Linked DNA regions of Drosophila melanogaster. The protein of the gene in region 1 interacts with the protein of each later gene in a pairwise test. Each region holds a gene or a part of one and is shown on either strand. Other genes may lie near its edges.

Evidence for each region.
Region 2: the proteins of CG9541 (region 1) and synr interact in a two-hybrid assay, tested with the Drosophila melanogaster proteins (one large-scale study listed by BioGRID).
Region 3: the proteins of CG9541 (region 1) and CG13625 interact in a two-hybrid assay, tested with the Drosophila melanogaster proteins (one large-scale study listed by BioGRID).
Region 4: the proteins of CG9541 (region 1) and Sec24AB interact in a two-hybrid assay, tested with the Drosophila melanogaster proteins (one large-scale study listed by BioGRID).

The regions. Positions count from the first base shown.
Region 1 is NT_033779.5:8,968,624-8,977,678, forward strand, and holds CG9541 (uncharacterized protein), read right to left. Parts: upstream 6,354-9,055; 5' UTR 6,309-6,353; coding exon 6,287-6,308; intron 4,914-6,286; coding exon 4,602-4,913; intron 4,437-4,601; coding exon 4,294-4,436; intron 3,915-4,293; coding exon 3,732-3,914; intron 3,660-3,731; coding exon 3,157-3,659; intron 3,095-3,156; coding exon 2,878-3,094; intron 2,808-2,877; coding exon 2,643-2,807; intron 2,574-2,642; coding exon 2,178-2,573; 3' UTR 1,897-2,177; downstream 1-1,896. Other genes in the region: CG18088 (uncharacterized protein), read left to right, coding at 150-1,403.
Region 2 is NT_033779.5:4,940,321-4,946,399, forward strand, and holds synr (sayonara), read left to right. Parts: upstream 1-2,421; 5' UTR 2,422-2,531; coding exon 2,532-2,624; intron 2,625-2,690; coding exon 2,691-2,960; intron 2,961-3,027; coding exon 3,028-3,428; intron 3,429-3,482; coding exon 3,483-3,668; intron 3,669-3,727; coding exon 3,728-3,914; 3' UTR 3,915-3,980; downstream 3,981-6,079. Other genes in the region: Sgs1 (salivary gland secretion 1), read left to right, coding at 1-1,046; mRpL24 (mitochondrial ribosomal protein L24), read right to left, coding at 3,981-4,096, 4,155-4,544, 4,607-4,760, 4,872-4,955; betaggt-I (beta subunit of type I geranylgeranyl transferase), read left to right, coding at 5,584-5,693, 5,751-5,901.
Region 3 is NT_033777.3:24,580,272-24,587,041, forward strand, and holds CG13625 (uncharacterized protein), read right to left. Parts: upstream 4,890-6,770; 5' UTR 4,810-4,889; coding exon 2,866-4,809; 3' UTR 2,796-2,865; downstream 1-2,795.
Region 4 is NT_033778.4:9,875,056-9,885,240, forward strand, and holds Sec24AB (secretory 24AB), read right to left. Parts: upstream 7,303-10,185; 5' UTR 7,128-7,302; exon of another isoform or gene 6,341-7,127; intron 6,162-6,340; 5' UTR 6,138-6,161; coding exon 4,641-6,137; intron 4,580-4,640; coding exon 4,453-4,579; intron 4,389-4,452; coding exon 3,889-4,388; intron 3,830-3,888; coding exon 3,604-3,829; intron 3,500-3,603; coding exon 2,877-3,499; intron 2,822-2,876; coding exon 2,589-2,821; intron 2,536-2,588; coding exon 2,438-2,535; intron 2,385-2,437; coding exon 2,246-2,384; intron 2,183-2,245; coding exon 2,071-2,182; 3' UTR 1,177-2,070; downstream 1-1,176. Other genes in the region: CG12744 (uncharacterized protein), read left to right, coding at 459-904, 961-997; CG1513 (uncharacterized protein), read right to left, coding at 8,702-8,788, 8,842-8,947, 9,030-9,151, 9,567-9,653, 9,711-9,846, 9,908-10,082, 10,145-10,185.

The DNA.
Region 1 (9,055 bases):
GAGACGTGTTGAGTAACTATCTGAAACATCATAACCATCTGAAAATATAAATATACATATGTAAGACAAGAATACTTTAAAAAAATACAAGATTTTATAGTTACAATTGAAATATGGTGTCATTAATAGTTAAAAAAATATTTTTTCAGGTTGCCGACAACTCATTCCCCAACATACTCGCTATTCTCAGTGGATATTCAGCTAGTACGGCTAAGGAAAATGTCTGCGATACGGATAAACAGGGCTGCCTGGACGAGATGCCAATGATATGGAAGTATTTCAAGAATGCCAGCTATTTGACAGGATACGCGGAGGACGAGAGTAACTCGAATCATTTCAACTACCTAAAGCCCGGCTTTTCCAAAAAGCCGATGGACTATTACTTTCGCCCATTGCTTAGAGCACTGGAGTCCGAAATGGATGTGTACCGATTGCCGGAACATGACTACATGCGATACTGTTTGGGTCGCCGGATAGCGAATCGTTATATCTACGACTATGGCCTACAGTTCACGAAGCGTTTTGTTCACGATCGACCAATTTGGGGAATGTTTTGGTCGAATCACTTCAGTCACGATGATCCCTTTATGCCATCAGCAATGCAGGAAAAGGTGCTGGGAGATTTGATCGATATGCATGCGGATGGGCAATTCGAAGAAATGATAATGATATTTTTCGCCGACCACGGAACCAGATTTGGCGATTTGACCTATCTGAAGGAGGGCTTTCTGGAGGAGCGGCTGCCCATGATGTTTATATATCTGCCCCCGTGGTTTCGTGAAACATATCCATCTTATGTAAGGGCACTGGAGTTGAATCAGCACAGGCTTAGTTCCAACTTTGATCTTCACAATACGCTGAAACATATCATAGAGATTGGAGGCACCCCAGATGGTCGAGAGTTACCCAAGTCCTTCGATTGCCCCACCTGTCAGTCGCTATTCTATCCCCTGCCGGAGGGTCGAACGTGTTCGGAAGCCGGCATTGAGGAGCACTGGTGCACCTGCGAACCCTACAAGATTATCTCGGGACAAGATTGGACGACTCCTATTGCCCACAGTGTGATCGATCGAATGAACGAGTATTTCGTTCAAAAGAACTTAACCAGTCTTTGCAGCAATCTGACGCTAAATTATGTGCATAAGACTGAGATAAAAACCGGTCTTAACATCGATTGGCACCAAACACTGATGGAATCGGAAACAGCGGTTTATCGTATTAAGTTTAAAGTGAAGCAGAATAGTGCTGACTTCCAGGCCACAGTGGTATACCATAATTCCACCCAAAATGCTCAAGTAAATGTGGAGAAAATCAGCAGAACGAATTCATACAAGGAAGACTCCACATGCATCGATGATAAGCTTGCAAAACTATATTGTATTTGCTTTAGTGACCTCCACTGATTAAGTCTCTTATGTACAAAATAAAGTTTAAGTTTAGTTTAAAACTCCTTACATAAGTTTTCAACTGCATTCCTTTGCTAGCAGCATTCCCAAGCCAGATGAACAAGTTATAAAAAATTTTAAGGGCCAACCGACAGCTTAGGAGAATGAAGTGCTATATAAATTCCAGAGAATTCGTTAACCAAACTTTTGGTATCAGTTGACTAATAACATCAATCATTCGTCAGAAAAGTATTTAGTTGAAATACTTTTATCAAATTTTATGTCGAATTTGATACTGGAGACTTTGATGAAGATAAGAAAGATTATAATTTTTGGAATGGCGCAATCACAATAGTCCGGAAAGGCAAGGAAATCCCATCCACCAGATTGGCTCTGTTGAAGTCAACGTTGTTAACCAAGATACGCAACATTTAATGCAACACCGCAATCGGTTAAGGTCAATTGTCCCCCAGATCTTTTTTCGAAGAAAGTAGCGGATTATAATAAATTTCTTGAGCAACTTTCAACTCTTGTGATTTTATTAAAATCGTACATTCTAAAGTCTACCCCTAACGCACTCTTATTCTAAATCGGTACTCGTCTAGTGAAATAAAGTATTGAATTGAATTCTTCTAACTCTTAATCTAGACGGACTAACTTACGCATTGGTCCCCCGAACTACTATCGATAATTCAACAAATCAGCATTAACAGTACGCTTAGTATAGGTTGATTAGAAAACTATATAAAACTTGAATATCCGTCTGCACTACGGATTCCTTTAAGCCTACATCTACATATATGAGTCGACCGGATATCGCTCGGCCTCCTCCAGCATGTGCCGGAAATCGACGGGTGCAGGTTGGCCAACGGGTCCGGTTCCGGGTCTGCCGGGAACATGTCCGTTCATCATCTGACCGTGGGGTTTTCCACTCCCCACGGCGCTTCCGCGATTTTTCAGATGACCGTTCATCATGCTCACGTGGTGACTAATTGTGGGCACGGCGCCTGGCACATTGGTCTCCAGATCGTGTAGAATGGCATCCGTTTGCTCGTTCCGCATCATTTGATTACCCAAGTTGGCTGAGTCGTCTATATCATCGGTTTTGTTCAACAAACGCTGGATGTGATTCCGGATGAGACGCTCGAATTCGCGCTGCACTGATGGACTATCCGTGTCTCCATCAACCTGTCAATATATTTATATATATTGTATAAAAATCATTTATTATTTTCGGAATGTTCTTTGGTTACTTACAATCTGCAAACGATTACTGGTATCCAGAATCTTGAGCATGGGCAGAGTTTGCTCACGAAAGAGTTCCAAGCGACGGCGAAAGGAGGAAACCGTATCATCTATACGTCCTCGGCCCAACTGAAGTTTTGAGCAATCCAGCAGGATAATAGGCGGTCGTTGTTTATACTAAGCAATAAAAAAAAGGGAGTAAATTAAAGTTACTTTTAAATTGGGATTTAGCCATCATATAGATTACCTTGTTCTCAAAGTACTTGACTTGCTGCAGGTTTCTGGGATAACCATCTACGATAATTCCAGTTCTATCCCGTAACTGGCGCAGATTGGTTTCCAGCAGCTGATTCAGCGACTTTTCTGGGGCCATATCCCCAGCGGCCAAGGCTTCCTTGACGGCGAAGCTTTCCGTATTGGCACGTGGTGCAGAGTCCGTGATATTGCGCAAAAGACGACCGACACTTAAAAAGTAGTATGCCAGTTTAAGCAAAATTATATAATGAGCACATCCAATGCAACATACCTGATGTGAGCCCAGCCAGGATTTAGTCCCACAGCCTTGAGGCAGAGTGTGGCCTTGTTGCTGCCCGGACCGCCGATCACCCATATAATAGGTGGCAAATCCGATCCGGATTCGTCTGGTCCAGCAGCCTGGCGCAACTTTGGCTGCTGAGTGACCACAACACCGCTGTCATCGTCCGCACTGGTGGTGCCCGTTTTCAGAGCTGTCACGGCTCCATTTGGCCCACCATCCATCCGTTCGATCGCCAAATCTCTGGCCAAAACTGTTCCCGCAGTTTCCGAGGCATTGGTAACGTCGTTGTCTTCTGCAATTTGAGTCCCTTGTTGGGCTTGACTTGGTGCGGTGTCTACGCTAACTATACTGCCGGGTATATCATGTATCCCTCTGCCCATACCTGTAACTCCATTCATAACGGCCTCTTGGTTCTCGAGGGTGCTCAGTATATCGAGGACGGCGGTGCGAAAGTCTTTGTATACCTCTGTGGGCGCACGTTCGCCATTTACCTGTAAAATAAAAAGAAAGCAATTAACATATATTATTGATATGATCATTATTGCAATGCACAAAATACTTACGGCCAACAACATGTCGCTCTGATCGAAATAATCGGCGACTGGCATCACATTTTTAAAGAAATTTTCTAATTCCATTTTGGCTAAGGAGAGTACTACATGACCTAATTTGGCCCCATAATCGATTTGCTTTTGTAGAACCGATTGGCGCCAGGATATAAGAATCACGCCATTCACGACTTGAATCTGAAAGGAAGTAGAAAAAAAAAACCAATCAAAGAAGATTAATTTTTATTTATGACTCCAAATTGTTATGTCCTACTTATGCAATATGTAGGTCTATATACCATAGTTAACGCCATGTGCTTGAAACTCCCCAAGTGCCGTTTGCACCCAGTCTGTCCAATTAGCACTTGCATATATAATATAGGAGTCACCGTAAATCCATGGGAATTATGGCCAAATAAACACACTGTCGCCGACTCATTTGCCAGTTAATTAGTTGAAATAGTTCAGCAGCAATTTACTGGGCAAATAAAGAGTGCGGCAATCAAAATGGCTTCACAATAATTGGGTGAGCTGGTGGGGAAGACAGCGAAAAATAGTCGGTTGCGTGGAAAATTACCTTTTCAGAATACTCGACAACGTCGCGCATGGAGCGTGGATATCCCGATATCAGGTATGCTTTGGCAGCTGGAGCCATTTTCATTTCCAACATCAGCACCTCAGTGACTGTTTTCGACGACAGTTGTGAAAAGTCTTGCATGTCTGTGGGCAAATCATTTAATAGACAATTGGCAACGGATTACGTCGAAAGTGTCTAAAAGTATGCAGCACTATATTATAAAGTAGTTTATATTGCAACAACAGCTGTCTCTCCTCAATAGCATACTTGTATATACCTTCTGTCTTCATTTACCACAGATATCTTACCATTGCCCATTGCATATTGCTGGAGGAGATCCATCATATTGATGTGCGTTACACCGCGTCGCTCCTGCATGAAGGTATCGCAATGGGTGACCTTGCCACTACCGGGGCCGCCTAAAACAAATATCACTGGCACTTTGGGCGGATCGAATTTGATTTTTCCAGCATTTTGCATATCGATAGCGCCGACATTGGTAGAACCCAATCGTCCTGCCGCCGCAGCGGCCTCCAAATCGCCAGCATTTTGGCCATTTCGATTCCGTGTAAGATTCCAATCGTTGCCTGGTTCGCCGGTATCTTGTGCCGCGCTGGCATCTAATTATATTTAAATAAATTATTTTAAATTTACAATAAAATGTAATCGGTCTAAAATACGGAATTTAAATTAAATATTCAATAGAAAGCAATAATATACCAATTCTCCGATTTTTACAGGCAATTTAATGGACTGTATCTCATTAGTTAAGTGTTTTTAAAACCCATGGAGAAGCAACAGTTGACTTCGGCAAAAGCGCAGAAATTTTTCAAACCGGAAACCGGATGTGTTGGCAAGTTAGCGCAAGGAAACCGGGGACCGGAAAAAGGCAAGGGCAGACATAACGTGCCAAGTTGGCATTAGCCATTAGCCAGCCTTCACCGAGGCCGGAAGCAATTTGCCAGGAGTAGGAAATTAGTGACAGAAACCACACGCACTCGATGGGTGGAAGGGAGCTAGGGATCGAAACAAATCGCAAAGCCCATCATTAAAACATGTTTAACAATTATTTAATTGTATGGCAACCGTGTTTAGTATAGAATGGCGTCACCGCTGAATTCATTCATGGAAAATCAGCTGCAGCATGGCGATTCCATAGCATTCAATACCGTACACATACCCCTCTAAATTTCCCCATAGAAATTTTACGTCTGCCCACCCGCGGAACCAGTTCAGTCCTTGTGACATTTTTATTGATTTTCCTGCAGTTTTATTTAATTGACATGTTTTGTTATTGTTGCTATCCCTTTTCGTCTCGGGGATTTCCCCATTTGTATCGCTATTCTTTTTGTTTTTGTGCGTGACGCTAGTTTCAGGATTTATGTGTACTAGCTTCGGTGGTCAACGAACATGTCCAAGGACCTGGCAGCCATGGAGGCCAAAAGAGTCCAAGTTCCGATACAAATTATACCGTTGGGCAAGGTCTCGATTTTGATATAACGCTAGGTGTACACATATAAAAGCAACGTTTTGTCACAGATAATTGTTTTTTCTTTCAATAAATTTCAAGCAAAGTGATTGCAGTAATTTCAATTGAAACTGTCCTTTGAGTTGTGGTCAATTGAATATGTCACCGAGACTAAAAAGAGTTACGTTATGATATGGGGATCATTTTGTAGTCAATTTTTATTTCTGTTCCTATATTGCTTTTAAATTTATATAGTTCATGTAACCAACAATGGTATCCCGAAAGTATGCTGCAAAATAGTTAATATTTTTCAGTGATCAGCTAGAAGCTATTCTATACATGTAGACCGACTTTAATTGATTGCCATTGAAAATTCGTGGTCACAAAAACCCATGAAGTTTCTATACCGTGTTTCACCTGTCGTGTTCGCCTGCGCGACTCATTAGGGTTCTTTTTGTTATCTTTGGCCGTGGAGAGGCAATGCTAATCTTTGATTACAAATCTGCTGCATGTGGCATTACTCACCTGTGTCTAAACAAATACCCATTATCCATTCGGTGGCCAGTATAGCTGAATTTTCGCAATAGTGTTTTCCCTACCGCACACCACCCACACACACTCTAGCCCACACACTTGCAACTTTAAAATGATTATCTCGTTGAAAATAAAAAGTAGAAGAAGGATCAGTTCTCAATGGAAATTGTTTAGAATTCCACAAATGTTTTGCATTCTATAACTTCGACTGTCCATGACTACCGTGAGTGAAATTCGCTCGATATATATTATAAATATGTGTACATTTATTATTGGTATCTCTGGGATACTTGTTCTCGCGCTTTATCGTCGGCAACACGCACCACAACGAACTACATGACGTTGCCGGTTTTAGTGTTTTGATTCCTGCATTAGCCGCGAACTCGACCGATTTGTGTACCGATTTTCGATTTCCGAGTGCGCTACACGGTGCCACAGTTCAGCAGTTCAGCGGTTCAGCGGTTGTGCAGTTCAACAAACCGAGCACGTACAACTCGACGAACGTCCGAAACGAAACTGAGTTTCAGAATTGACAACTGGCTCGGTTTTTAGCTCTACGAGCACCGGTTCCCCTGGTCACTATTCCAATTAATGAATACTTTATGAGCAGCGGTTCCAGCAGTTTCATACCACCAATGCAGTTCCAGTTTGGCGTGGGTGGTCGGGATTTCCTTGTCCTGCCCGATTGGAAGTCTCACGCACGACCTTAGAATACCTATGTGCCCCCATCAGAAATCCACCTCACATGTCTGTGTCATTCATGGGCCGCCATTTGTTTATGCGCTCCAAACAAAGTGTCCTGTGTCCTGGAACCAGCGGTGCGTTTCTCATACATCCTGCACACACATGTGCGGGCTCTCTCGCGTATGTGGCATGGTTTTTAAAACATTTTCCAGGTTTTTTTTGTTTTGTTTTCCGTGCTGGCGTGCTGGTGTCCTGTCGTCTATGCCGTTTGTTGTTGGCGGTAAGCCTTCCGTTTTCATAGGTGTAAATAAATCCTTAGACTTGCAGCTGTTCAAGTCAAGAGACTATATACACCCAGATTATGTGGTTCAAAAAAATAGTTACAGTTCCAAGACTTAAGATTTTCGATTTAAACTAATTGATTTCTGCATTTAAGCAAATATTGCTGAATGATCGAAATTATATACAATATAAGTTTGGATATAAGATATTTTTTAACATTGAAAGCTTTCCTTGTAAGTTATAAAAAAATTCATTTTCTAAATTTAAATAAATAAATAATTAAATATTTTTTATAATTTGAAGTTATGATAAATGTCATTTGGTTCGTTTCGAAAGTGTGTTCACCCATTATGAGTCTGCCATAGGGTATGTGTTCATTGTAAATCACTTTCATGACATCGATGGCGGATAAATTGCGCAGTCATGGCGACCCACAGTGACAAGAGCCCCAAATTGATAAATCCCGTGGGGCGGCGAGTGGTGACATAGGGTTGGATTCCTTATACAGTAGTTGGGAATTGGAACACTGGGCTGTTAGATGTGCAGTGGGCGTGCCTTCAATTAATATTTCACACTATTAATTGACGTTAATTATTTAGTTTACTTCTGGTTGCAGTTCAATGATACCTCTTTTTTTTGGGAGGGAGGGGGGAGGACTAGACGCAATGTGTGGACAGCTGTCAAAATTTCCAAAATGTGTTCAATTAAAATTCTATTGGATTCGCTGGGGGTTTTTTGAAGTTGACACTGGACGGAGGGAACAGGTGTAATAGACCCGTCAAGGACACTCGAAGAAGTTCAAAGCTCAAGGAAACTTCATATCGATCAAATTGGTCTCATATCGATCCATGGACAACCACAGATGCGACGCCTAATTTCTTGGAATTTGTGACATGTCATGTGCCGTCGACACAAGGACGGCAACAACAAAGATAACAACAGCCGAATTGACCAAAACGAACCACCAGCCAACGAACCAATTGACATTGAACCCACACCTGACCAGCAGTTCTGGGTTTGCTTTTCCAGCTTATGCGTAAGGCAAATCCTTGCAATGACCACAGCAGTGGAACTGGGGAACAGCCGCAGCTCGTGTCCCGTGCTCGTCCTTGGGCCCTCTGGGCGGGTCCTTTGGCTATTAAATCCCCTTTTCAAGCTTAATTAAGGCTACGCGTTTTGGCCAACGTGTGTACACAATGACAGACGGGGGCGGCCAACTTAGGGTTAAGCAACTCGAACCGAACATCTGTGATTAAGGACACTGGCTAAGGAGACCCTTTGTTGGCGTAAAGTGCGTTGAAAGGATGAGAAATTATGAAAACACCAACAATCGAATTATATGTGCTGTCCAATAAATTATTTGAGCACATCCGAAAAAAAAGGGTGAGATATATATTGATGATATATACCAGTACGTCATGTAAAATAATTATTTTGTCATAATTTGAACTTAAGCCACAACTCATTTGGTTTAAAAAACAAGGGTTCCGTTAAGTTGAATTGATCTATTTATATAATTGGATGAAACTAACAATGAAAATCTCTTGGCACCTGAGCGAGCATTTATAAATAGATGCCCCACAATCAGAATTACTTCAGTCCTTGCCGGTTTATTAACTCTGAACTGAATGTCCTTCAGGGCCTATTTGGGCCTAATGCGGCCATTCAAAGGTGATTAGGGGCTTGAGTAAAATATTTACACATCTCGTACAACCAGCCACACTACTAATTGGCTTAGAATTTCTTTTTTTTTTTTTTTTGATACCCATGCACCTTGAGCCATCCTGATATGGT
Region 2 (6,079 bases), 4.0 Mb from region 1:
CAACGACAACTACTCCTAGATCCACAACAACAACTTGCACAAGTTGCCCAACGACAACTACTCCTAGATCCACAACAACAACTTGCACAAGTTGCCCAACGACAACTACTCCTAGATCCACAACAACAACTTGCACAAGTGGCCCAACGACAACTACTCCTAGATCCACAACAAAAACCTCCACTTGTGCCCCAACGACAACTACTCCTAGATCCACAACAACAACTTCCACAAGTCGCCCAACGACAACTACTCCTAGATCCACAACAACAACTACCACAAGTCGCCCAACGACGACTACTCCTAGATCCACAACAACACCTTCCACAAGTCGCCCAACCACAACTACTCCTAGATCCACAACAACTACTTCCACAAGTCGCCCAACGACAACTACTCCTAGATCCACAACAAAAACTTCCACTTGTGCCCCAACGACAACTACTCCTAGATCCACAACAACAACTACCACAAGTCGCCCAACGACAACTACTCCTAGATCCACAACAACAACTACCACAAGTCGCCCAACGACAACTACTCCTAGATCCACAACAACACCTTGCACAAGTCGCCCAACCACAACTACTCCTAGATCCACAACAACAACTACCACAAGTCGCCCAACGACAACTACTCCTAGATCCACAACAACACCTTGTCCAACTACAACACCATCTGCAAGTCCTACAAGAACAACAACAACCCGTCGTCCTTGCCCTTGCCATCCCCAGCCTCCTTACCAGATTCCTCCTTGGTCATGGTGGTATCCGAACCCGACCTACCCCAATCCCGTGTGGCCCTGGCAACCTAACCCAGTCGTTCCTCAATGGCCACAGATGCCCGGATATCCAAATCAGTGGCCACAATTACCAGGTTATCCCCAGCAATTACCACCGCCGTTGCCATCACCTCAGTGGCCGTGGTCTTGGCCAAAACCACCAGTAGTTCAACCTGGCGACTGTGAAAACATATGCGAAAACCTACTGAAGGGAGTAAAATATCAAGAAGATCTCATCAGAAGGTGCTTGTGCACACGAACATAATCCTTTAAAAAAGAATCACGTAATTGTTTTATTAAAATGTTGTCTATTTAAAAAAATAACTTAAAACAAAGTTTTGATGGTTAAAAATATCGAACGGGTATGGTATGGATGTAGGTTTGATGATATTGAATGGCAAGTCTATCCTTCAGAAGTGGGAGGAAGGATTATGGATGTCACAATGGCGCATGCGCCTATATGGTTTTTGGATTCCCATGTTTTGCTTAACACTTTCGTCCCTGAGAAGCTCAGAAAGCTTGGGCGCCATTCATCAACAAGTTTGCATTCGGACTTCAGCACTCTAATCGACACTTGACTACATTATTACTTATTTAAACGCAATCATTTGACCCATTATTTTCCGACGCCTTTGCGTTTGGTTGCACTGCATTGCTCATGCGACATATGGTCGCACTATATGTTTGGAGCACACATTCGGACAAGTTTAATGACCAATTGCCAAGGGATTGGAGAACTCACTGCTCTTCGAATTAGGTTAGCACATTAGCTGGTTAAGGACAAACGTGGATTGAAGTTAGGATGGGGAGAGAAACAGGAAAACTTAACGAGTTCTAGCATATGATAATGTGTACAGCCATAAACTTATAGCTAACATCGTAATCCGTGCACAAGCTATTAAAAACTTCAAGAAGATATGTCCCTAAATTTTTCCAATAGTAATAAATATATAACCAAATTTACTCTCTCTGTAGGGCATACTACAATCCTAATAAGCTATAAACACTCCAGAGCAGAGCCTCTAATTTGCTGGTAATTTATCAAAATCTAGATTATAATCCTGCTGATGGATTATGTTTCGGGTCGATTAGTACCCCAGTTATAGGACTACTAGAGTTCGTCCTTCGTTCAGCTGAGCTTGCACATTTCCTACACAATAAGCAGATGTTAATGGCTCCCTTCTTTGTTGTTTTTGTTAACTTGTTAATACAAATACACCGTGTGCCAATTCACAAATCCAACAAGGTATAGTGGACATGCCAACAAAAAAGCTAGCAAAGCAAATAACACATTGTTGACAAACAGCGGGCTATTGGGGTGAACCTTCAAAAATCTATTGAACAAAAGTATTACTCGTCATATGTATTGTAGCATTTTAATTAAGGAAACATGTATTTTAATCAATATAACTTAAACTTAAAGATAGTAATGGTTGCACATGTCGTATGCGCAATTTTCATGAAGAGTGGTCCGCTCTAAAGGACACATACGTGGTAACAAGGGGGCTACGCTGGCCCCTGTCCCCACCTCCCGAAATGGTTTGTGGGTGGATTTGGTGTGGCCCTGTCCAATGGCTAGCGCGCAAAAATAATTTTTGTTATTGTGTTTTCCCTCATAAGTGGACATGACGGACCCAACGAAAGCTCATTCAGCGCTGGACAGGCGAACTGGAAAGGTCTAAGACGGAAGATGTCATCGCCGGCAGAGCGGGCGAACTTCGTGCAGCACTTCGGACAGACAACCTGAGTGATGGGCTGTGGCTCCTCCATGGATACGCAGACGAATCCTGTCGTCACGGAGGTCAGCTCGGAAATGCAACCTCGCCAGAATGGCGCCTCTGGAGTAATAGCACTTGAACAAGTCGTCTTACCTTTGCCATAATCAATACCTCTTCCATTTCGTCATCAGAATGTGGTCGAGCAATATGTGCGCCTGGACGAGCAGATCAGCAAGCTGGAGGGCACATGTCCTGGTCCTCGAATGGCCACCGCCGAGGCCTGGGTGGAGCACATTCAGAGCAAGCACGAGGCGATGCTGGGACTCGATGGCATGGGAGTGTCTCCTTTGCGCGAGAGGGAATGGGAAACCGAGGAGGCCCTGCCCATTCCAGCTTACACAATGGGGGGGCGGCAGGGCGACCCAATTGTGGCCAACACGCCCACCAAGGACCTGGCCCAGGTAAATGGCCTGCCATTAGTGAATGTGATGAACTTCCCTCAAGTATATTATTACCATTCGACTTTAGCTTGCCTACAACCTGGGCGTAATTGGCGATGCCCGCAAGGCTTCCATGCACGAGGATTTCTTCGCCAACCTGAGCGAGTCCGCCATGTATTTGCTTAGCATTCGTTACTACGGCGAGATGTTGGAACACACTAAGGTGCGTCTAAAGACTCTGGCCGAGAGCTATGCAGAGCTGAACGAGCTGTACGTAAAGCAAGACGGGATTATAGCGTATATAAGCGGGGGAACGTACATGACTCGGCTGGAGGAGAGCATTGATGAGCAGCTTGAGACGGCAAGAGATACAAGGGATAAGCTGGGCAGCGCACTGGAGCAGTGGCGCATCTGTGGATTACTACTTAGAGCAGCCGCGAATTCCTCGACGCAGGCATTAAAACAATGGCGACAGCTTGGACGGATAATGTGGGTAAATTAATTCCCCACTTAGAACTTGTTGACATGTTATTTCTCGTTCAGAGATCCCAAGCAAAAGCTTCAGTGGGCGTTGGACTGTCGAAGTCTGTTACACGCCTCCACGATATCCCTAGAGGCGGCTCAGCTGGCTCTGCCGCACGTGGAACTCAAGTACATGAGTCATCGGCAAGTCCTAGCCGTCAAGCACTGCAACACCTACCTAATCACGGATATAGCAAACAAAGCGCGGTAAGTTAATATATAGATTTCTCTAGAATCTTCTACAAAGGGAAACGAATCCCTTTTAGGTACGAGCACACCAGTCGGGTCTTCACCAGTTACGAATCAAACATGTCCAAAACCTGCACGTGGCTCTACGAAACCTTTAACAGCACGCTGCGCCCAGACTACGACAGGGCGGAGGAAACTGTATGCGGGCTGGCCAAGACGCTCCGGGATCATCGCGAGGAGGTCTTCAACACGGTGCGCAAGTGACATTAAACTTATTGCTCAATTATATGGGTATTTTGTACATTACTTTAATAAACAGTAGGCATAACATTAGTACCAATAGCTCTTGACTGGCGTGCGTTCCTCTTTGATGCCCATTTCCTCCATAATGTCCATCTCGAATGTGGACAACTTGGGCTGAAAGGTGATCTCGCCCACAACAGCGCCTGAAAAGGACAGACTTGTATGACTAGGAACATATTGAAATGCGATAATAGCCCATACCTGGCGTATCCTTCTCCCTTTCGATATAGGCGTTTGGTGTTTTATAATCGTGCGTCTGGTTGTTCGTCTCCGGGATGGGTATGATTCGGCCAGATCGCAAGGACACCCGCACTTTCTCGCCCTCCTCCGTGAAACGCCACTCAAAGTCGGTGCCCTGAAGATCCGATGGGTCAACCAGACGAATGTCCTTGGTGACGTGCAAAGGTGCCTCGGACTTGATAATGATACCGGGAAACTCCTTCTCACCGCCAACCTTGCGATAGTGCCAGTTCAGGCCCTCTACAATTACCCAATTGCGCTCGGGTATAACCTGGGTGACAATTCCCTGCTTTCCTTTGTCTTTACCCACAAGGACTTCGATACGATCGCCGCGGAAAAAGCTCCAGTCCTCTGAAAAGGATATACAACCATGTTTTATTAGGTTTTAGAGGTCAAGGCTTCTTATTCCTTACCAATTGGTTCCACTAGCACCTTGCGACGCACGGTTCCGGGCATATTTTGCTGGCGGAACTGACCCGTCCATGAACGATTTGTGGTGTAGCGGAATCTCTTTCGCTCCACGGTACGCGGTAGGTAATTAATCTCCTTCGGAGTTTGCCAGTACACCTGTGTTGAGATGAAAAAAAATATTTTAATAAATGTGAAACATTTTCCATGCGATGTGTTACGTGAGCCGCTGTTCACAAGTTGTTCAATGAAAAAGACTCTTCCTGTTACCTGTTTTTTGCTGCGCTCGATGTATTCCTTGGGCAGATTGGAAAAGTTCTTCAACTTGCTGGCCAAATATTGCGTTAAACGCATTTTGAAAGGTTAATTCAATTATTAATAATAAGAACTAGTAAATTAAATGCGGCTTGCAATCAGCTGTTGAGAACTGAAGAATAGCCATTCACAGGAAGGCCCAACAATTTTATTTATATTTAATGTTTATGCGACTCTAAAGATTATGAACACTTGATGTAGGCTTGTAAAATATTTAAATTAATTATTTTCGAGGTTTAAGAAAATATCTTAGCTTATATATTGTTAAACATTATGATATAGAAATTTAAGAACTAGCAATTATTTCCCCGTGTAAACGTGGTTCGCTGTGACTGGCAAGAAGAGGTAAGAAGAAGCAGCTGCTATTTGTGGACTACTCTTGGTGTTTTATATCGTTCGCCGTAGCCCTAAATTGCAATGCAAACCGGCTTTATATAAACAAAAGGTAAGTGCTAGACCATATAAATGTGGGCACGTGCGGGCGCAACATCATTGGAAGACGGAATCGCAACCGGAGAGCGTCTATTCCGGCCAGCTCAGTCCAACCGTTTGGGAAGGGCCTTTCAACGCTTAGTCATATCCATATCTCAGCGCACACCGAGACAATCCAGTTCCTACCCACCCATAAGTTCCTCATTTAACAAGCAATATGTCCCACCACATAGATATGGAAGACCGCACTGATACGGAGCCCGTGCTGCTCTCCAAGCACGCCAAGAATCTGCTCCGATTCCTTAATCTCCTGCCAGCTCGCATGGCCTCGCACGATAACACCAGGTAAGTGCATCCTGGCCTCGTATTTAACTTTTGGTTAACCATTTCCTTGTCCATCAGGAGCACCATTGTGTTCTTCGCCGTCTGCGGCCTGGATGTGCTAAACTCATTGCATCTGGTGCCGCCACAACTGAGGCAGGACATCATTGACTGGATCTACGGAGGATTGGTAGTGCCACGCGACAACGAGAAAAACTGCGGCGGTTTCATGGTGAGCATAAATTCGCGTCTGTCAGGTGTACAAACAGTCGTTGACAAGCCAAACAGAACCATCTTCCGCTCCCACATCCACTCCCAATCAAGTTCCTTATCTCCATACGTGGCCAGGTAGCAGACACTGCGGCAGACGTTGTCGCATCCCTTACATATTGGTGTTTATTCAGTCAGTT
Region 3 (6,770 bases), on another chromosome or scaffold:
ATTGAAATTCCCTTTGCCATTCAACAGGATTTCGAACAAAAGGAATTTGAATAACTTTGCCCTATGTTGTTCCAGCATGTGAAGGAATTAAAAAACGCTTTAAAGAACCCGAATCACTGTGCCAAAATTCTACACTGCAAACAATTTGGTACATACATAAACAGTAATAAATAATATTTCAAATATATCAAAATCAAATAGTCAATATTTGTGGTATTCGTAAATATGAAATTTTGCAATAATTTTTTAGCCTAATTTTCCGCACATAATAGTTCGTTTTTTCGTCATAATTTTATAAAAAACAGCCACAATATGGAATGCCATATCTCAAAAAACTCGTTATAAAATTCTAAATCAATTGGCATTTAAATTTGAAAATTTTTTTTTTTGTTAAATTTTTTTCAAAATTTTATGATGTTACCCCTTGCAAAAAATCCAAAATTCATAAAATTTTGAAATTCCAAATATGAACAAAAAAGTGATATAGATCGTTAGTTGGGATAATAAGCTGCACAAAACTATCAAATGTTGTAATGTGAGTACATTTTTAGCCAAGTTATGATAAAAAAGGCGTTTGAAAATAGCAAATTTCTTGTGCTGATTTTACATCTATTGGGAAATTTATTTAGAGTTTCAGATATTGGTAATTTAATAAATATTTTTGACAGTGCATGACACAAACCAACCCCTCAATTTCCGAGCAAAGACCAAGGGGGAGGATCAATCTGTGGATTGTAAGGGGTGCTTGGAACACACGTACTCAGCATGGGATGCGTGTAAATTTCTAAGCCATTACAATGTCATGTCACTGGGTCCTTGGAAGCACCCCATTCGCGAGGAAAAAGCCAAGGAAATGCACAAGGAAGGGCCAAGGACAAGGGTTGAGCTTGCTCTGGGGGTTGCTTTTGGACCAGCGAAGGTTTCCTTGGGGTGTCTGCGCCATCAGTTTATGGTTCTCCCCCTTTTTTTGGGGGGGTTAAGAGGGCCATGTGTCGAAGAAGGCCAAGCACTGATCTTAGCCTGTCTGATGCAAAGAACATTCAAAAACACAAAGTGCCCAAGAAAAGTTGAAGAAAGTTTTCATGCTCAAAAGCAAAATAGGCAAACTTTCAGAAACAGATATTTGATATTTTTACCCTTATCTTAGGGAAATAAAGAATTAGCATCTTTGCGATGTCCATTGCGTGTAATATCTGCCGTTAACAACAAATAACTAAAAACTAGTTAAACTTATAAAGAACTGTTTTTCATGCATTTAAAATGAGTAAACTTGAAGTTTAAAAAACTCAATTAGTCAATACCTTTTAAAAAAATCAAAGTCTATAGCATAATTTAAAACCACCTTCACTTTATGCATTTTTAAGAACAAAGGAGTATAATATGTATGAAAAGTGCACAATTACAACATTAAAGAGAATATCAAACAAATAAATTTACTGCATTATTTATTTATTTATCAAAGGCGCATAATTGATCAAATTAGCACTTGATTGCTAAAAGGAAATAGAAACTGAAAATTATGGATTTACATACACTAACGCAAATTAAATTTACGATTGTGTAAATTGGCTAAATCTTCATTTGCACACAAAGTAACATCCAAACGAACGGCTCTTTGTTAGAGTGCAAAAATAATAATCTAACGAAGTGCAATTAATTCAAAATGAAGCGAAATAAAAGCAGACCACGAAATGGCACACAAGGAATCGAAAAGAAGAACGTAGAGGGGCAGGGGAGAGAGAGGGGGAGTAAATAGCAGTGTCATGAATGAATGCGATGTGCGGAAGTGTGTATGTGTGTCAACGGGAAAGAGATAGAACGAAAGCTGATTGCGGTATTTGCATCCCGCCGCGAGCGAGCGAGATGGAAGCTGCAGCGAGCGACAGGCGCGTGCATGCGCCAAATGCCTGATTGGAATGGTACGTACACATTTCAACATTTCCACACGTTTCTGCAGCTGAAAAGCTTTTGGCGCCAATTTTGCGCCAAGCAAATTGCAGTGCAGCAGCACCAGCAGCAACAACAAAATCACAACAATCAGCCGCAGCAGCAGCAGCTACAAGCCAACAAACAAACAAACTGGTTTTTCATCGGCTGACCGACAATTGCGGCTGAAGGCGAAGGGCAGGCAAAGCAGCTGAAAAAAAAAGGAAAACCACCGAAATCCCAATCCACAAATGCACAAACCAACACGACTGTGGTGTTTTTGTTGTGGTTAAGAGAGTTTTATGCTAATTATTGGGGGCGGGGCAACAAACACACACCACTGGCGTCCCACTCGATACACATATACAGTTGCTTACGCTTTGTTCGCTGTAACGAAAGCAGCAACAAAGCAACCAAAAGCAGAACCATTTACATACACACACACACATCGATACTCTATTGCTTACAAAGCAAAAATCTTAGAATGCTTCTATTTAGCAGATGATGTCACTTACCTATTCTGGTTTTGAAGCCAAAATGTGCGGCACACTTTAAACTTGATAATTACAATGGGTTTTCCCCAGTTACACGGTTTATTCCGTGGTTTTGAAACGATTTTTTGGGAGCGACGAGCAGGTCGCAGGTGTAGATGAAGACTATTTACCATTCGCTTTTGCTCCGCTATTCTACACACAGGGTTGCATTGCGCTGGCGACCAGTGTTGCAGGTGGCACGTCGATTTGGCGGGAAAGTGGCGGGCATTTCGAAAATCAAATTTTTGTAAATAAATATTAAATATTATATTACCTATTTACATTCTTTATTTTCCAAAATAATTCAATAAAACAAAGAAAACGATCAATGTAATTGCTCTTTTCTTTTTTACAGGCAGTGCCTACATCTTTATTGCAACACGAAAGCAAACAACGCTTGCAACATTCACATATCCTCCACGCTGTACTTGTAGGCCTCATCCTGCACGGCCCGCCGTTCGTTCTGTTTGTCGAACCAACGCTGCTCGTAGCCGTTGGATCGATCGACGCCATCCCAGCGATATCCTGGTCGGATGCCAAATCGGTTCTCCGGAAAGCTGCCCTCGTACTTGGGCATCACCGGCTTGTTGTCCTGCTGGTCGCGTTTCTTGCGCTTCTGGCGCATGTACTCCAGCATCGGGTCGTCGGCGTGCTCCTGTTCGCGCAGATGCCTGTCCAGATCCTCGTCGTTGGCATAGCGAGCCACCGGTTTGGAGGCCTCATGGACCATCTCCTCCAGGCGGGACTTGTGATCTTCTATTTGCTTCAACCCCTTGCCCCAGCGATCGTACAGTTCCTTCTTCTTTTTCTCGTGCTCCTCTTTGCGGCCCTGCTCGGCGGGATCCTCATTGGCGGCATCTCGTGCTCGGTGTCCCTTTCTGCGAGTACTGCGCACCTGCACATCGCCATCACGACCGGAAATTTCGCTGGACATTTTCTCGAATAGTTCATGTTCTTGTCGACGCCTTTCGTCGGTTTCCTTCTTCAGCGATTTCGCATCCTGCAGTCCAGCTTTCTTGCCATCTAGTGTCTTGGTGGATTTCGGCTTGTGTGTCGGAGGTGGAGATGCTGATTTGCTGGGCGATGCCTTGGCCCAGCGACTTTTCCTTTCTTCCTTGAAGCGATTACGAGGCGGTGGACTGCGCTCTCGACTTCTGTGATTTCTGGCCGGGCTTTGGTCGGAGTCGTGACGTCTGCGTGGTGATTTGTCTCGTTTTCTGGTTGGACTTTGGTCGAAGTCTCGTTTTCTTCGCGGTGGCGATTGATCTACATCCTTGGGTCTTCTTGGCGGGCTTTGATCGGAGTTTCTTCTCCTCCTTGGCGGCGTTTGCTTGTCATCTCTGCGTCTTCGGGGCGGGCTTTGATCTGAATCCCGCCTCCTTCGCACTGGAGACTGGTCATTGTCTCTCCGTTTCCTAGGCGGACTTTGGTCGGAGTCTTTCCTTTCCCTTCGCACCGGAGATTGATCGTCTGCTTTACGCCTTCGAGGTGGGCTTTGATCGGAATCTTTCCTCCTTCTGGGCGGAGTTGAATCCTTGTCTCTACGTCGCCTTGGCGGACTCTGATCGGAGTTACTTCTGCGGCGTCTGGGTGGCGATTGATCGGAATCCCTTCTCCTTCGAGTGGGTGATGCTTTTCCCGTTCGTTTTCTTGGCGGACTTTGGTCGGAATCCCGCCTTTTTCTGACTGGCGATTGATTGCCATTCCTGGCCTTTCGGGGTGGACTCTGATCGGAATCCCTGTGCTTTTGGCGTGGCGGAGACTGATCGCCATCTCGCCCTCGTCTGGTGGGACTCTGATCTGAGCTTCCCGCCCTTCTTCGCCCCCTTTGAGGACTCTCTTCTCGCTTTGCTGGCTTACTCGATCTCGCTGGGCTTAAATCCCTAGAGCTGCTGCGTTTTTCTTGCTTAATTCTGACGGGTGAACTTCGTCTGGATGGTGAGAATTCATCCTTAACCTTAACAACTGTCGCCTTGCGTCCCCACATCTCCTGCTCCTCATCCAAGGGCTCCTGTTTGATGCGAATGCCAGTTGCTGGCGAGGATTCCTCGTGCTCTTCTTTGATTTCATCCTTGACGGCAATGTTGCGCCACTTGCTGCGCACATTGGGATCCTCTTCGATGTACTCGCCCACAATTTGAGGCGCATCCTCGCCGCCCAGCAGTAGATCTTCGTCCATTTCCAGATTATCATTTTCGTAGGCGTCGTCATCGATGATTTTCACTTTGGTGTTGGCCGAATTCTTTTTGTGCTTCTTCTCCTTCTTTTTCTTCTTCTTCTCCTTGTCGCCGGATAGGTACTTCTTGAGGTACTCCTTCTGGTCGATGACTTTGGCCTTTTGCATGGACATTTTTGTGCAATAAAAGCGGGAAATTGTAATTTACAATGAATTGTTTACGTTTTTTATGTGCTCAATGTTACCGTTCATAGTATGTGTCGAAATGCCACGCACTGCTTGAGTGCTGTTAGGCTGCGCTTAACAGCACGCAGTTAACAATGTGCAGCAGTCTGGCAACGCCAGCGTGTATGCACTTGTCATTTAATTAATTATATAAACTAAGCTTGTTTTTCATTACATTCTTCAATATGATAGCATATATTATTATGTAGATTTGATTTCTTGCCATTTATTGATCATTACATTCTTAAAACGTAATATTGCGCTTCAAATTTTTAAATCAATTATTCTGCGCGCCATAGTGACTAACTGTTAACCAAAAGCATTCGATAAGGCAGTTATGTTATGGAATTAAGGTAAATATTTACACTTGGAAGTTTTCAATGCACCTAATTGCCTGAATAAAACTGCTGCTCATCAATAGACGAGTGCACTCTGCTTACCAATTTGCCCAAATTCATGCGATTATTTTTGCGGCCATTCGCCTGCGCATCACTAACTTCGAGGCGCACTGACAAGTCAACAAATTCCTGGTGAAGCCTTCAAACTCGCCACAGCGTGTTTTCCGCTGAGAGAAATTTCGCAGGAAACGCATAGAAAAGAAAATTTCGTAAAAATTTGTGAATTCCAAAGCCCATTTACATTTAACTTTCGTTATGTGATCGAAGAAGAGAAAAGTTGCACCTAATTATCGTGTTGCATGGGCGTTGTTAATTGGGCCGCCGGCCTTATTTTGCTGGCGGCGGCGTTATCGGCGGCGGATTAACTTCGGGTGAATGTTTCTGTTTCCTAGAAAACGTAAGTACTAAGCAGCCGAATAAGCGGCTTAAATGCGCTTAAATGGCGGATTAAATCGAGCCACGGCAATTATTTGTCTTACTTCCTGAAAACTCTGAAGTGGCGCGTTCTCTTCAGGAGACTAAGTGGAAAGTCCTCGAGGGCTCTTACTGCAGCCTTTTTGTGTGGAATCGGCATAGGGAATCGGCATTGGCATCACATGGCTGCCAGGATGTTGCATTTTGTGCGGCAGGGGGGCAGTGGGTCTGATGGGGAAGGGGTAGGGGGCACTAAGTGACGAGGGGTGTTTAAGTGACGAATGAAATGAAGCGCAAAAACAAAGAGCACGCAGCAACAATGCCCGAGACGAACAACAATTGGCAGGAAAAGCGTTGGGGAAAGTCAAAAAGGGCTGTGGAGGAGCGAAGCGGGGGGGGCGGGGCGGTGGTGTTGGTAAGCAAAGGGTCGGGGGCACCCACATATTCACATTTTGAGTGCAAGAACGCGCGAATGGCATGCAAATTAATTCGCTTAACTGAGCTTTTAAAGCGCTCTTATTATATTCCGTTGTTTTGGTTGCGTTCTCTCCATTACCCCTTTTTCTGCATTGTTCGCATTTCTTTTTGCCCAGTTTTTTGCGCTCGCATTCATGAAATTTAAAGCCCACGGCGTGCTTAACCTCCTTACCCTCCCCCTGCCATCTTCATTATCTCTCGCTCTGACGCACTCGCTCTTACGCGCGTCTCCTTCTCGCTCTCGCTGCTTTGTCTGCCGCGCTCTACTTCTGCCATCTCTGTTTCTGTTTTGGTGCTGTCCCACAAACAGCTGATTTTTTCAACGTGCTCTCCATGCCGCTGCTGTCTCGCTCCCACTCGCTCGCCCTCTCTGTCCCGCCGCATAGTTGTGTATAAATTCAAATTCCTTTCGAAATTCTTTACAAAGGTTTGAGTCTGCGCTTACAGCACTTACCGCCCACATTCCGCTTTCGATGACTTTCGAAAGTTAACGGAGTGCCATTCCTTAACCATTTTAGTTAAAATAACTATGTTCTTACCTTTGAAGCATACACCGCGTGCGCTCATATAGCAAACATTTTTGATACATATACGTACATAGTGTGTATTGTTTTTACTCAT
Region 4 (10,185 bases), on another chromosome or scaffold:
CAGAATTGAACCAATTTCATATCAAAAGAAAAGTGTGTGTGCTGTTGTTTTAGACTGCGCCCTTTTTTCGAGAACTTGTCGAGCCAGCGCTGATCGATATCTGCCCTAACTCACACTTCCCACAATAGCTAATTTTTGTTATAGCTAAAAGAGGCTAAACATGCAACACTGATATGACACTTCGCTCTCTCCTGTTTTCACAATGAGTATGAGGAGAACGAAAAGAACAGTTGATTTCTTGTAACCGAATGGAACACTTGTGACTTTTAAGTGCGCATCGAATAGACTGGATGTTGAATGAAAAGAAAGACGTGTAAATAACGGAGTAAAAGAACGAGAGCGAGGAACCGTAATGCGAGTAGTTCATATGTTGATGAATTGAAAATATAGAGAGTTTCCATTCGTATATTCTTAAGCTAACATAAAAATAAACAAGTTGCATGTGAAATAAATAGATAATGGAAACGGCGTTGGCTGAAGTGCAACTTTCCTGTCTGCTGTGCGAGCAGACTTTTGATGCCACTGAGAAGCTGGACGAACACCTCCCCACCCACTTTCCGCAGCCTGTGAGCACTGGTCAAACATGCGATATATGCGGGCGCACGATGCGATCCTCGCTGGAACTGCACCAGCACTATAAAAGATACCATGAAGCCCATGTGCCCAACACAGAGGGACACTTTCAATGCCAGCTCTGCGACAAGGTATTCCTCCTCCAGGATCATCTCAAGGTACACGTGAAGATTGAGCACGCGACCGATGGCTACCAACCAGATGAGAAGTCCTTAGATTGGCAGCACTACTCTCCCAGAAGTCTAGACACAACAAACGATTATAAGCTGGATCCCATCTTGTGTCCTCCACCAAAGAGGAAGTATCCGCCGCGCTCCCCCTTCTTCAATCCGTAAGTCCAGATACCCAATTTATATTTGTCCATTATTAAAGTTGATATTTTTGCAGGAATCTCTGGCTAGGCGCTGACAACTGTTTTATGTAGAGGAACATAGAACCAGGATATGTCTTGCGAAGGGCTGACCGATTTATTGAGTCTTATGCGCCATCATCTATCCATTGTAAATGATTGTTAATTTAATTAAGGTCTTTCCCAAAACTAAATTGGGATATATTGGGAACAACAGATGTGCCTGTACATATGAAAATAAAACGCATTGCCTTATGATTTAATTAAAATTTATTTCGCTTTATATCTTGATGTACTCGTATGTGTATAAAGTATGGTACAGTATTTGTATATGGTTTTTCGATTAGTTAGCCCACTCAAAGAACGACAACTGCGCCACCTGAGGTACAGGGATGGGGTCTCTTTATTGATACAGTATAATATTCCTTCTAAGCTTAAGACATTCACTGCCTAGCAGTCCAATGAATGCAATACACAATACCAAATCCGTACATACGTTTGAAATAAGTTCGCTAACTACAGTGCAACAAAACGCCTTTCCTTACACTTATAAATAAATATAGATTTCTCTGGATTCCGGAAAATAAATACTACTGAAAACAGCAAACAATTGGGGTAAGCGATAACAATTTGTGGGGCTGAGAAGTTTGCAGAATGTTTGAAGCAGTTGGAACGAACAAAAATCGAGCTAAAGCATAATGTACAACAGTTTCGTTGGTTTATTGCATAGTTTCTATAATAAATAACGGAGCCATCCACTTCTTCGGGAGCTCTACTGACTGGTTAGCTGAACTTTTGACTAATGTTCGCCCTAAACGAACTGGCAACGATATCTTAGTTTCTGTTGTGACAAGTTGGCTCTTTCGCATTTACTATGATCTTCAATTATTTTATTTTATTTTTAGTGCAACAAATCAACAAATAAATAAATACATGCACTTTAAAATTACCTAAGCCGAGAGAGTGGGTAGGGGATGGGTGGTTAAGGTGTATCAAGTGTATGTCTGTCCCGAACTGGTCTCCATTGTTTCGCACCAGTGTCACCTGCATTCGCTTCGTGCTTCTAGTCACCAGAGTCTGAGTTTTTAGGTTCTTAGAAACTCGTATTTATGCTGCATACAATAGTGGTAGGATATCCTGCTTATATACTATTTAACCTGAGCCCGAATGTGTTGCAAAAATTCATAGTATGACAAACTAGATTCACTGCGATCGTCGGTTAATCTCTCGGTGAACTGGCCCTTGGCCGTGCTCGTGTCCCTTTAATTTAAGATAAAATAATTAGCAAGGTATTATGAATATTTTAATAGTGGTCCGACTTACCTAATTATCTGCACCAGCGCCGAGTAGGGCTTATCGTAGTTGAGTCGCAAAATAAAACGCTTCAGCACATCGTTCTCGTTGCTCACAACATTTGGCAATCCATATACATAATCACCCAGTTCTGCGGTGGAGCTGATGCCTGAAATTAGAAACAGATTAGTAACACAAATTGGTTGGGTTTTAAGATCATACCCAGAACAGCTTCCAAAACATCGGGCGGCACATTAAGGCCGACATAGATCATTATCAGCGTTCCGCAGTCCATCAGAAATATTGACCGAGAGTCCAAGCTGAAGTTAAAGCGTTCGTTATCGAAGGTCAAAAATAAATCAACTCTACTCACTGTTCCGCGGACAATTGAAGACGCGGCAGCTCCGGCAACGGTTCATCCTCGTCCTCGTCGTCATCCTGGTTCGAACTAATGTTCGAGTTGCGGGCGTGGTAGATCAACGCATCGATCTTGTACAGCTCCGGGTACACGTACTTCATTAGCTGGTCCAGCGGTAGCGTTTTCATGCAATCCATGGCGTAGACCCGATCATCCAGTCGTGTGCTAGTTCCCACACGGAAAGCGGGCTAGTGGAAAACCGAAATAAGCTGTGATAACTAAGATCATATGCAAAAAACTCACGTGCTTAAGCAGGGCCAAGATGTAGAGCGGGAGCAACGCCAGGCTGCGCGGCGCTATCAGCTGACCCGACTGTCCCGATGGCAGATTTTGTGCTATCTTGAAGGCATTGTACACGTCGATCGTAGCGTTTATGAATGCATCGCGGGCGTCCGACAAGTTGGAGGCGACCGACCGGTCAACCGCCATTTTCGACAGCAGCCCGATAATAGCTTCCGTGTCGGCTGAATGCATTACCTCTGGGAGCGAAGCGGTAACCGGCAAACACACGGTGTGCACACGGATTCGGCGCTCTCCTTCGCTGTTCGTATAGAGCAGCGCAGCTTGGAAGCAAATCGTTTTCGCGTCCGTGAGGCTCTCCTCGTAGGAGATCTGCATGCCATATCCAGCATCCGGATTCACGTTTGGCAACGAGAGCAGGTCCGTGGAGCGCACGAAGAAGTTTCCATGGAATGTATGCACCTGCAAGCCACGAGTGCAGCGGATTCGCATTACCGCCTCAAATCCAATTTTCCTGGTAAGATAGCGCTTGAAACACGAGCGGAACGATTCTACCATGTGTGGCTTTGTCTTCTGGTAGAGCGGGAAGTGGTGTACACAGCCGCCGCTATGTTTGCTAATGCCAGCTATAGGGAAATTGAAACTCCAATAAGTTAACGGTGCTCTATTACTCGTAAGAGAACTTAATGCAAAAAGGCAGTTTGAATTTACATTACTAAGAGTCACTTACAAATGGTTGCCATGTCGCTGTACTGCTGGTTCATCAGGAAGAGGTCACAAGCTATTTGATAGCCGGAGCACTCTAGGGCAAAGCGCTTGTAGAAGTCGGTTGCCGGGTTAAGGTGGGCCACGTCCTTTGCCGAGCGGTTGTTGGGATCTTCGCGCGGCTCCAAGGCTCCGGGTCCCTTGTTGGGAAGGCACGATTGAAAGACGGTTATCCGTCCGCCGGACGCTTGCTGTATACAGTATTCACGATGATTAAGGTTCCTCTTTAATTTTGAATAGCTCAACTCACCATTAGCTTGAAAGCAACCTGCAGAGCAGCACCCAAGGCGGAACCCGGATCGTGGGTGTGGGCAAACCGCTTAGGCAGTTGCTTTAATAGATCACGCACCAGTTCCTTGCACTCCTTTAGGTTTACCAGCAAACTATCAGGACGTGGCAGGAAGGGGTCCTCGATGTCCAGCAGCGTCATTTCGTGCGGCTGGTTGAGCCCCTCGGCCATGCTGTAGAAGTGCACGAAGCTGTCGAAGCAAATGAATCCCACCTGGGTCCTCGCATCACCGGGCATCTCGTCTAAGTGCCGGTTGAGTACGGCGCATGCGGCCTCCAGATAACCACTCTGCTGCGCGATTATCGAGACATCGAAGAGAAACAGGTACATGGCCGGCTGTGGCGGCCGCAACATGTACTCCGAAGGAGCAATAAACTCTATGGTGCTAGAGCGTACCTCGGGCCTTCGGGTTACGTCGCCGTATGTCTTTGTGGCCGGATCAAATTGAAAGTCATCTGGCACTGCACGAAGAAAGAAACATTGGATTACTAAATCCATTATATGCTGGGAACTCTTTTCAATTACATTCGTTGACTCGATAACACAGATTGCACTTCCACATCTTGCTGTCCACGAAGTAAACGAAGGGATTTATGTAAGTGCGGCACAGCCGGCAACGCACAATGTTGATGCACTGAATAACAGGGAGGCTCTGTGTGAGGAATTCCAAGTTAAAGTCTTTTATATCAAATTATTTTCAATAAAATTCTTACATTGACATCACGGAAGGGATGTATCACAATGCCCAGAGGCAGACGTGACTTCTGGAGCAGAGAGTTGCTCTCGGGAATCTTGGTCAGCGTACAGCGCATAATGCTCGGGCTACAGTTTATGGACTCGTGAAACTGGTTGTGCAAAACCACTTTTGGCGGAGGCAACGTTGCCGGCGTTAAGATATGCCGATTCTGCATAAGGTCGATAGTATCCTGTCCCCACAATCTGCTGAATCCCTGCTGAGCCACGTTTAGTGGAGCAGTGGTTCCATAAGGTCCCCCGGGTGCAGTCTGGGGTGCTTGCTGAGGATGTTGTCCGTAAGCCTGAGGAGGCGCCTGTGCCTGATACTGCAGTGGAGCTCCAGTCGGTTGCGTTCCGAACATTCCCGGCGGCGGTGGCTGCACTGCAGACTGAGGAGGTGGTGGCTGTTGCTGTGGTCCTGGTTGATAAACCTGGGAGTATGGATACGTCTGTGGTGTCTGCTGGGCTGGCGGCATCATGGGCTGGGCTCCCGGCGCCGCTACATTTGGTAAGCTCGGCGGCCATACCGCTCCTACTCTTGGTGGCGGCGGTGCATTCTGTAGATTGTTGTTTTGCTGGCTCTGCTGCTCGGGGTTAGTTGGTGGGGGTACTCCGTATGGGATTCGTTGCCCCGCTGGTGTTGGTCTACCGGCCATCGAGGCGCTTCCGAACATTTTGGCCGGATTTGGAGCCAAATTGGGGGGCTTTTGTCCACTAAACGGCGTCGCCATGGCATTGGGAACTAGTGCAGCGGCCACTCCGCTGGCCGCCAACAGACTGTTGGCGTCGTTGAACTGCGGTGGACCCGTCTGGGCCGAGGCCACTCCCCTGCCATCCTTTTGTGTTACTGTGGGTGCGTACTGTTGCTGGGTTTGGGGTTGTGGCAAAATGCTGGTACCTCCATTTGCTCGAGTGGTATTCAAGTTAAGATTTTCCAGATTGCTCGTCAAGTTGGCCAGAGATTGGTGCGTCGGTTGGGGCGAAGGACGCAGTCCCGACGCCAGGGGCGGATTGTTCAACGCTGCAGCGATTGGTCCTTGAGCATATTGAGGGGCAGCTCCTACTGGCCTTGGGGATGCAGTGCGCGAAGAGTTCGCACTGGACGCCCCATTGCTGCCGTTCGTAAGGGGTGGTCCGTTGGCGGCGGGCGGACGCAGATGGGGCGGCAGCGTGCTGGGCGGCAGTTGCTGCAGAGGTGTAGCTGCTCCTGACGTGGGCGGCAAGAACTGGTTCGTAATACCACTGTTGAACTGCTGCGGCGGTGGCACATTACCTGGCGCTCCTGCTCCCGGAAAAGCTGCTGCAGGAGGTGGTTGCTGGAACTGTTGTGGCTGCTTCTGTGGTATATACTGCTGACCAGGTGGAGGACCTGGCTGCTGCTGGACGCTTCCTTGCACACCATTCACAAAATTGTTTCCGTTCAGTGGCATAGGGGCGTGGGCGGGAGGCACGAAGTTCGGATTGTAAGTCGACATGCTGCTAATTCATAGGTTTGTGGTCTGAAAGATGAAGAATTACATTTTGTTTAGTTGCTATCTTATCACTAGCGAAGGTTGCGTTGCTGCCGACATGAAACAGGGAATTATCTTATCGTTCAATGTTAAAAAGCGCGTAACATGAAACAATGTGCGGCTGATAAAAGTTGTAAAGTTTTAAAGCGGGATGCTTTTCCCCGCTTACAGACAGTTTAGAATTTGCAGTGATCGAATGGAATGCGAAATTCTGCGTTATTGGAGCTTTATCACAAACTTTTAAGCTAGACTGGCTGCCTAGGTAAATGTCTTGATTCAGTGTTTACAGAACTGTGTCTACGTCAACAGTAAGTCGGAAATAGGGTGATAATTTCATATCATATTTTGCTGTTTAAACAGCTTCGACAGCAGGTCGTTATGGGTTATTATGTGATGTACAACGTGTAAGTGTGCGTGCCTCAAGCACTTGACCTCGCCATCAATGATCGCAGAAGGTGGGTCGGTTAAATTGGTGACCCAGATGCAGTGGAAGCAATCAGGAAGAGAAAGGATTTGTCTCCGGAACAAAGCAAATTTTTGATGACGTGCCTATTGGCGAAGTCAACCCGCCACGCCCACCACCCACTCAAAGAAATTGGGGCAATCAAGGCATATGTAGTGCCCATAACACGGTTACCAATCACTTATCACCTTCCCGAGCTTCAGTTTTCATTGGCATGAAGTTCCTCGGCCAGCACTTGCACTTTGTAGTTGCCTCTTCTTCTTGCGCCCTTGATTGGCGATTTTGCTGCGGACTATGAATTAGCTTTTCCGCCTTTCGTTGTGAGGAAAGGGCGGATGCAGCTGTAAAAACCACTGGTTGTACTCTTTGTTCTGGTCTTTTGTGAAATCCTTGGCTGGATTTTTCTCCGCGAACGAAAATTAAACGATTTTCGCACTTCCCTACGCTCTCTCCACTCCCAAAACTTCCTTCCGCACTAGTTTCTTTCTTACACGATTTCAAGCGCTCCTCGCGTGCTCCGGATGGATGCGAACACGTCCTATATTGGCAGGCGGATTCTTTGGACTTGGCGTCGTACGCTGCTATGCACAATTAACTTAAATGCAAACTTTTTGCATTTTCCGGAGAACAAAAAATTTTGAGGCCACGTCAATAGTGTGACCGTTGGTTTTAAAAAAGAGATGACAGTGCTCTGGGTCGCCTATCGATTGCAAATAAAATGTTATCGATACCAATGGTAACATTATTTTTGTAACAATTCAAATTTAAAACTTAACGCAATGTTTATTAAGTGAAGACAAGCAATGTATATTATATATAACTCTGTTAATGATATGAGCTTAAATGTTCGTAAGCCCGAAATCCAAAATCCATTAAAACTGCTTAAAGAACAAATCGCTTTATTTGCAATATTTGTATCTGCTTGGGAGTAGCTCAATTTCTCAATTAACACGTTGGTTAAAAAGAAAATCGCAAAAATATATACAAGTTTCCCCGGGCTTGGATATAAGTTCCAATTAATGCCATTGGGATTACAATTCTTTTATTCTACGGGGTAACTAGTTCGTTAAATATTACTTTAAATCAATTTCGAAGCGTATTTACTTTATTCGTTTCATTTTGCGTTAACTTTGCGTGAGAGTAGTCGGTAGATTTGCTGTGTGGGTGGTGTTGCTTCCTGGCTCGTAAGTTATAAAGTTATAAATTAAATTTAATGTCTATTATTCAACGTGTCTAGGAGTTCGGTTTTCAATTGGGTTCTATTGCAGTAAGGTGTAAAGGTGTGTCACCAGCGGACTCTTGGTAAAGCTTTATTGTTATTATTGTGACAAGTGGAATTCGAAACATAATACTAAAGGTAATCGTATTTGATTTATAAGCTATGCGACTGGAAAATCATTGTGCACCGTGTGTTCTATGTCCGTGTGTCTGTCCTGTGGTCTTGGAAAGAAGCGAGGGTGCAGTATCTGTCGGATACTAGCGTGTCGGTATTGTATTTCGTCTATAGCAGAGTCTTTTATTTCAAAAATAGAATCTCTATTATCCTTAAGTAACTATCATTTTGTAATCTACAACTTTTGATATATCCCATTATGTATTGGATTTCTTTCTTTGTTGCTAGTTAGTAAATGTTAGTAATGTAAAAGGTATTGAATAGGTGTCATTGTGTTGCAGTTTACTGCGATTGCCTTTGAAACACACTAGTACTTAGTAGTAAATAATAATCGTTAATTCTGTATAGAAACTGTGAGTGTTTGATTTTTCTGTCTCCGCTGAGCTGTCGAGCTTGACTCGCGTTCCAACCTAATGAGCAGAGCTTTACTCCTTTCTTTTTCTCTGTGTATATTATTTACAATTAATAACCAGACCCTGGAGCCTCCATCATGGATCTCCTTCTGCCAGTTCAGTTGTTGCTCTAACTTTTCCTGCATTCGTTACGTTGTATCGTCAGTGTTGAGAGGTTTGCGCACTTGTGGAATTAAACATATAGTTGAGGCTCGTTCTTGATATGATCCATATATATAGACGTTTTTGGTGTTGTTGCTCTCGTTGTCAGTCGGAGGCATTATCTCTTGGCCTCCTTCTCCTGCAGATACATGCGCTGACTCAGCGGCTTGGCGTAGATCCAGTTGTCGCCCACGGGCTTAAAGTGCTGTGAACGAATATTATCTGTTAACTGTTTTACCCTATATCGGGATGACGTACCTTGTGCTCCCAGGCCAGATCGTATTCCTTGCGCACCTTGGCTTGATCACGCTGCTGTTGCTCCACAACGAATTTGGCAGTTGTAGCGCGCTCGATGTCATTGAACCTGTGGAAGAGCAACGAACAAAGAGATTACATTTATCATGACTCGCAATTGGGGGTCAGGAATTAATTGGTATGCTGTTTACTTGAGTCCCGCTGTCACTTCCTTCCAAACGCGTCGCGATTCGTACTCATCCTGCTCAACGATTGGTCGAACTTGTTTCTTAAATATGGGTATGCGATTTACGTCGACGAATACTTCGGTTTTCTAGAAAATTCAAGAGATTCATTCAGATTCACTATGTGGTCAACTGATTGGGATTGGGTGTAATATTAAACACACAGCAATCATATATAAGTACAGATAGCAACAATTTGAATACAACGTTGGACAATCAGGCATAGGATTAATTTGTGGGTTCGATTTTCTAGACAAACAAAGTAAACACACAGAGGAAATGCTCCCGAGCTATTTAAGAGAAAAGCAGAAGAATCGTGGATAGTAAGTAGAGGTCTAGTTGGGGTGTGAAGGGTGGATGTGGCTGCCAACTCGTGGGGTTGTTTGTTGCAGCGTTTTGGCGCAGTATGCGGAGGAAAAAGTACAAGTAAAGGATCAACATTTACAGAAACAATATATAATAGTACACTACAAACATAAACCAAACATATTTTGGACGACTTACGTTTTTATCATGCCACTTGGCCTCCATCAAACCACTCCACTCGCCCGTAATAGAGACGAAAGGCTTCTTTTCGCTCGGCGCATAGACCTATGGATTATCCGAATTAATAAAAGAAAACAAATGTACACATTCAGAGCTAGTCACCTCTGCCGAGACCCTGTTCCGTTTGCCGCCATAGAATGGCTTGGTGAGGAACTCCACGTTGGCATAGTATCCAGACTGTGGACACTTGATCTCCACCGAACCGCCGAGCTCAATCCAAGGCACCGTAAGAATAGACCTTGGTAATGGAAATAGTCTTCAGTTGTTTGTAACCGGAAATACCACAGACACGTTCTCACCTGCCGTAGCCGTTGGGGAAGGTCACTATGTACTCCTCGCTGCGATCCACCAGGGTCACAACACCCTCACCAATGTTATGAACTCCAATGGAGAGTCCCAAGAACTTCGACTTGGTCCATACATGGGCCGCAAATGTTATTTTTTTATTATAATGCTCCGCATAGAAGGCAGAAACTGAAACAAATAAATGCGTAAGTGATAGAGGTAATAAAGTCTTGTTTTTTTCTTTGTATTACTTGGCGGATGGTGAGACACTTGCTCAGCTAAAAAGGTGAGT